Linked DNA regions of Cricetulus griseus. The protein of the gene in region 1 purifies or fractionates together with the protein of each later gene. This does not show direct contact. Links are inferred from orthologs where the notes say so. Each region holds a gene or a part of one and is shown in the gene's direction. Other genes may lie near its edges.

Region 1 (3,520 bases):
CCACATCTCACACACATCCCCCAACAGCCACGAAGGATGCTGAAGAAGGATCGAAGAGCGAAAACTGCAAGAGGAATGAATGCACCTTGTCAGGGTTCGGGACCGGCAAGGGACAGGAGCATTCAGGAACTCTGCAGCAGCGCCAGAGCTGCGGCTCAGCAGGACAGGCCTCTCTAGAGCTCCGAAGAAAAGCAAACAGTTCTCCCGGGTCTTCCTAGATTCCAGCGCCCTTTTAGAAAACTCTGTCCCCTGGTGCACTAAACTTCAAGCGGGGCCGGGGTGGGGGATGTTGCTCCCTGGCAGCGCCGGAGCAGCGGCGCCGCAAGGGTTAAGCCAGCTTGTCCCAGCTGACAGTCAGCTGATTGGGCTGTGATTGACAGCTCCGAAAAGTTTCCTTGTTTCTATACTATTATGCTAATCGCGGCCGCTCTCGCCGCCTCCCATTGGAGGAGAGTGCCAGTCAATTTCCCATTTGAGTCTGACGTCACGGGTGCTATAAAACTCAGCAATTGCTTTAAACTCTTCTCGCTGGATCAGAGGCTTTAAAATCTTTTTTCATCTTGGAGCTGTAGCTCGGGCTGCTAGTCCGCTCGGCCTCTCCCCCCACCCTTTTGCTCTCGCCTCGCCTTGGCCCAGGACTTTGCAATTTTGCTTTTAAAAAAAGGCCAAGAAAAAAAAAAGAAAAAAAAAAAAGGCAAGAAAGAACTAAACTCCCCCTCCCTTGCTCCTGCGGGCCTGCCTGCACCTCGGTCTTGCACTTTGCACGGAGGGAGAGGGTGAGAGAGAGAGCGCGCGCACGCGAGGGATCCGGAGAAAGAAAATAATAATAGTAATCATAAGAGCCAGGCAGAAGAGGAGAGAAGAAGTGTTAACTACCCAGGTGCCGAGGCCCGCACCTCCGGGACAGACACCCGTCGCGCCACCCAGTCCCGGAGCAGCCGCTGCGCGCGCCCCGCCTGCAACCCAGCCGGCTTAGGCGAGCCCTCCTTATGCAAAGCGCGCAGCGGAGCGGCGAGCCGGGGACGCCGCGCACCGGGCCGGGCTCCTCCGGCATCCTCTCCGCCGGCCTCATCTCCACCGCCGCTGCTAGCTGCGGAGGACCTTCCCGAGCTTGAAGCGCCCGGGATCGGAGCTCAGGGAAGCGAGCAGGCGAGGAGGGGGCCCGGGGCGAGCGGGAGAGAGAGAGAGAGAGAGAGAGAGAGAGAGAGAGAGAGAGAGAGAGAGAGAGAGAGAGAGAGAGCAAGAGAGAAAAGAGAGAGAGCACATTGGCGTGAGCAGGGGGGAGGGAGGCGGGCGCGGGGGCTGCGGGCAGGGCGGGGGGTGTGTGCACGCTCGAGCTTTCGGGCCACAGCCACCGCCGCGCGAGCTAGAAGCGCCCTAGCCCGGCAAGCTGGCTCACCCGCTGGCCACCCAGCACAGCCCGCTGGCCCCTCTCCTGCAGCCCATCTGGCGGAGCGGCGGCGGCGGCGGCGGCGGAGGCAGGAGGATGGCTTCAGAACTGGCAATGAACAATTCCGACCTGCCCACCAGTCCCCTGGCCATGGAATATGTTAATGACTTCGATCTGATGAAGTTTGAAGTGAAAAAGGAACCGGTGGAGACCGACCGCATCATCAGCCAGTGCGGCCGTCTCATCGCTGGGGGCTCGCTGTCCTCTACCCCCATGAGCACGCCCTGCAGCTCGGTGCCCCCGTCCCCCAGCTTCTCGGCGCCCAGCCCGGGCTCGGGCAGCGAACAGAAGGCGCACCTGGAAGACTACTACTGGATGACCGGCTACCCGCAGCAGCTCAACCCCGAGGCGCTGGGCTTCAGCCCGGAGGACGCGGTCGAGGCACTCATCAGCAACAGCCACCAGCTCCAGGGTGGCTTCGATGGCTACGCGCGGGGAGCACAGCAGCTGGCCGCAGCGGCGGGGGCCGGCGCCGGCGCCTCCCTGGGCGGCAGCAGCGAGGAGATGGGCCCCGCCGCCGCCGTGGTGTCCGCCGTGATCGCCGCGGCCGCCGCACAGAGCGGCGCGGCACCGCACTACCATCATCACCACCACCACGCCGCGGGGCACCACCACCACCCGACGGCCGGCGCCCCGGGAGCCGCGGGCAACGCGTCCGCCTCTGCGGGCGGCGCGGGTGGCGCGGCGGCGGCCCGGCCAGCGCCGGAGGCGGGCGGCGGCGCGGGGCGGCGGGGGCGCGGCGGGGCGGGGGGCGCCCTGCACCCGCACCATGCTGCGGGAGGCCTGCACTTCGACGACCGCTTCTCGGACGAGCAGTTGGTGACCATGTCGGTGCGCGAGCTGAACCGGCAGCTGCGAGGGGTCAGCAAGGAGGAGGTGATCCGACTGAAGCAGAAGAGGCGGACCCTGAAAAACCGCGGCTATGCCCAGTCCTGCCGCTTCAAGAGGGTGCAGCAGAGACACGTCCTGGAGTCGGAGAAGAACCAGCTGCTGCAGCAGGTCGACCACCTCAAGCAGGAGATCTCCAGGCTGGTGCGCGAAAGGGACGCCTACAAGGAGAAATACGAGAAGTTGGTGAGCAGCGGGTTCCGAGAAAACGGCTCAAGCAGCGACAACCCGTCCTCTCCCGAATTTTTCATGTGAGTGTGACACGCGATCCCAGCTAGCCACCTTGTTAAATGCTCCGTGGGGGTCCGGCTTCTGAGTGGGCTTGCTAGTTGCAGGGCCACGCTCGCCACCACCTCGCCCCCTCCCCTGGCGAGTTTGCTCCCCTTGGCCTTGCACACACAGAGAGACACACACAGACACGGACACACACACACACACACACACACACACACACACACACACACACACACACACACCAAACTTGTGGTGGTGGTGGTGACTGTTTTGAATTGGGGAGGGGAGGGGTGTCTGGCTCATGGATTGCCAACCTGAATTCCCCATAACTTGCTAGCTTGGTTGTTTTGTTCTTTTTTTTTAAAACACCCCCCCCCCCCCCGCTCCACACACACACAGATACATACACACCCGGGACTTGCACAAGGGTCAAAGATCTGAGCAGAGTACTTCATGTAGGACATAGCTCACCTTTGAATCCGGCCATCAATCGCCCGTATTTTTTTTTTTTTCTTTCTTCTTTTTTCAGTTCATGAGCTGGTGTTCATTCTCTGTGTGTGTGTTTATTTTGTTTGGATTTTCTTTTGTTTTTTTTATTTGTTTTTGTTTGTTTTTTGGAGCTTGCCGTGTTTCCCAACCTCCACCCTCATTCCCTCTGCACCATGTTCTTGAGATAAAAGAACAGCAGGTTTTTTTTTCTCCTTCTGAGTTCTTCTGTGAGATTGAGCTTGCAAAGGAAAACAAAACAAAACAAAACAAAACAAAACAAAAAAAATGTGAAATGCTATAGACCTTGCAGCGTGCTGAGTTCCACCGGGTTTTTTTTTTTTTAGCATTGTTATGCTAAAACAGAATGAACTAAAGCCCCTCCTGAACCTGCCACAATCAAGCCTGCATCAAGCTCCTGGGTATGACTCTTGAGTTTTGGCCTTAGGATGCCAAATCTGG
Region 2 (3,225 bases), on another chromosome or scaffold:
TTCTTGTCCTGAGTTTGAGCTGTTAAATGCTGTCTACACAGGAACCTCATGTTTGCTCGTCTGCTTTATCTTTCTTTTCTTCCCCAGAGTATCAGCTCTTTGCCTTCATTAGTCACATGGGGACTTCTACTATGTGTGGTCACTATGTCTGCCACATCAAGAAGGAAGGCAGGTAAGTGGCTAGCAATATGCACTGTGAATGAAGAGGTGCTGGTGGGAATGAGGAAGGGCAACCTGGAAGTCCCTAGAATATTTGTAGGAGAAGGCAGGAAAAAAAAACGCCTCCCCCCAGGAATAGGCAAGCCACATCCCAGGGCTGAATCTGGCTGTCCGCTTTTGTAAATGAAGTTTTACTAGTACATAGTCATTTCATGTTTATGGATCACCTTCGACAGCAGTAAAGTTAAATAATTGTGGCAAAGACTGTAATTATTCAATGAAAATGCTAGTCAGTAGCTCTGTGTAGTGGCTTATAGCCACGGTGCTAGCATTGGAGGTGGAGGCAGGTGAGTAGTTGAAGCTCATCCTTGGCTACATGGTGAATGATTTTAAAGTGAGCCTGGGCTCTATGAGACTCTGTCACCAAAAGGGGTGGGGGTGGCCTACAGAGATGCTTATTGGTTAAGCTCATGCAGAAGACCTGGGTTCAGTTCCCAGCAACCAAATGGAGGCTAACAAGTATCTGAAACTCTATTTCCAGGGATCTAGCATCTTCTTTTGGCCTTCATGAGCACCTTCACTCATGTGCATACACTCCAAAGACAGACAGACAGACAGACAGACACACACACACAATCCTTTTTTAAAAAAGAAAAAGGAGGGGGCTGGAGAGATGGTTCAGTGGTTAAGAGCACTGGTTGCTCTTCCAGAGGACCTGGGTTCAATTCCCAGCACCCACATGACAGCTCACAACTGTCTGTAACTGTCAGTTACAGGGGATCTGACATTCTCACACCAATGCACATAAAATAAAATTTAAAAAGTAAAAGGATAGAAAATGTTGGTCTCTCTGGTTCCTCCAGCTTCACAGGAATGGGTGGAAGATGATTATAAAAAATGCAATAGGCTGACAAGATCTTAATGAGTAAAGACACTACCTCAGTCCTGACAGCCTGAGATAGATTCCCAGAACCAGAAAACTACCCTCTCTGACCTCTGTGTACACTTTAGTGCAAAATAAATTATTGTAATTATTGAAAATACAATCTGTTTGGGAATGGTGATGCACACCTTTAATCCCAGAACCCAGGAGGCAGAGGCAGTTGGATCTCTTGAGTTTGAGGCCAGCCTGGTCACAGAGTGAGTTCCAGGCCAGCCAGGGCTGTTACACAGAGAAACGCTGGGGGGGGGGGATGGCATGATGTAGTTGTATACATATTTAATCCCAGCATTGTGGAGGCAGAAATAGATAGATCTTTGAGTTTGTAGCCAGCCTGGTCTACATAGTATTCCAGGATAGCCAGAGCTGTTGGGATCCTGTTTCTAAGTAACAATCTGAAGACTCCAAATGGAAAATGACTCTTAAGGGATTTTGAAGTTCCTTTCAGACTGCTAGCTGGACTATAGATTTGGGGATCTCAGCATTAAATGAAAGTTGGGATCCTTCCCCAGAAACACCTCAGAGATCTCAGGTGGGCACCTGAGAGATGAACATGATACAGCTTGGATGCCCACTTTGTTCATCCTTCCTTCTCTGTCCCTTCCCCCATTTTCCAGATGGGTGATCTACAATGACCAGAAAGTGTGTGCCTCTGAAAAGCCACCCAAGGACCTGGGCTACATCTACTTCTACCAGAGAGTGGTCAGCTAAGAGCCTGACCTCAACCCTTACCACTTCGGGCAGGGGACAGACCATCTGGCATGAGGGATGGGGTTGAGGGATGGACTTAAGCCCCCTGCTCTGTACCCTTTTTCCTTTTGTCCCCAGCAGCCGGAAAGAGCTGGAGGCGGTAGGAGAATGGCCAAGCAAAGAGAAGGGGTACTCAGTAGACTTTGGGGATAGAGCAGGGATGGGACAGGAAGGGGCCGACTGCCTGTCCACACTGGGACCTTGTTGCTTCCTTTCCCTGCCCCTGGAATCCACAGTGCTCTGCTTCTCTGTGATGACCCAGCCCCTCGAGTTGGGAGGGGTCTTAACTGTGTGTGCGTGGGTGTGGCTTTATGCATCCTTCCAGGGGAGGGAGCGACTGTGCCTCCCCTCCCCTCCCCTCCCCTTCCCTTATGTGTTTGCTCCCTCGTGGTTGGGCAGAGAAGGATAGGAGGGAAATAGGGACACCTTCCCCCTTTGTTCTTCTGCCTCAGCCTCCCATTCTGTGTCTTTGGTCCTCTGGAAAAATGCCAAAATACATGATGTGAATAAAAGTACAATGACTGGCTGGTTTTGTTTAGTTCTTCATGGCAAACTTACTTTCCCTGAGTAAAGTTACTGATGTGGGGGGCAGACAGGTTCAGAGAGGCCCAACTGGGGTCCTTTGCCCTGCCTCCACCCTCCCACCCTGGGGAATTTTGTCTTTAGTTCTAAAAGTGCCCAGAAAACTGTGAGGTGGGGAAGTGGCTGCTTCCCCCCTCTACTGACCATGTACTTGGTCCAGCCCCAGTGTTACAGGATAAATAGAGGGTCTAGAGCAGGCAGTGGGCAGTCAGATGGTATTAGCTGACAGGCTTTACAAGACAACAGCCAGTCTGCCACCTCCCTTCCTGCACGCCAGTGTATCCCACTCTTTGCTCCATTTGGCCAAGACCTGACAAGAGAGGGACCCAGTAATCACCCGAAACGTTTGTGAAACACTTGGGCCCTTCCCTAGTGATTGCTGGAAGGGCTCCTCGACCATGGCTTTTTGCCTTGTGCTGTGGGGAAAGGGGGCCTCTCCTTTGGAGAGGTGCTCAGTCCCAGTGAGACTGGTTTAGGGCCATATTGCTGCCAGCCCTTTGGTTTCCCTGAGCGCGAGGCTCAACATCTCAACTGTCGAGCAACAGGCGGGACGTTTGAGCCCCCGGAACCCCCTAGAACGTTGCTACAAGAAGGGAGAAACGTCAGAATATCGAAACACCGGGAGGTGGATAGGTTGAGGGGGAAGGCTTAGCAGCAAGGGGCCGGGCTAACCATGGCGGAGGGCGGGAATGAGGAGGAGTTCTGCTTCACGGCACTCTATATAAGTGGCCAGTGGCCAGGGACGTGCGTTCACACTGAGGTTCAGCAAGTCTGTCAGAGCGCGGAGGTTCAGC

Evidence for each region. The genes of interacting proteins can lie anywhere in the genome.
Region 2: the proteins of transcription factor Maf (region 1) and Usp5 purify together in Homo sapiens (affinity purification with western blotting; 3 studies listed by BioGRID, with this or other methods). This does not show direct contact. The link is inferred for Cricetulus griseus from reciprocal best matches to the Homo sapiens genes MAF and USP5.

Annotation. Positions count from the first base shown.
Region 1 is NC_048596.1:192,288,530-192,292,049, reverse strand, and holds transcription factor Maf, read left to right. Parts: upstream 1-1,486; coding exon 1,487-2,593; 3' UTR 2,594-2,756; downstream 2,757-3,520.
Region 2 is NC_048601.1:21,600,387-21,603,611, forward strand, and holds the end of Usp5 (ubiquitin carboxyl-terminal hydrolase 5), read left to right. Parts: intron 1-87; coding exon 88-172; intron 173-1,716; coding exon 1,717-1,810; 3' UTR 1,811-2,375; downstream 2,376-3,225. UniProt on the Homo sapiens protein: Deubiquitinating enzyme that participates in a wide range of cellular processes by specifically cleaving isopeptide bonds between ubiquitin and substrate proteins or ubiquitin itself.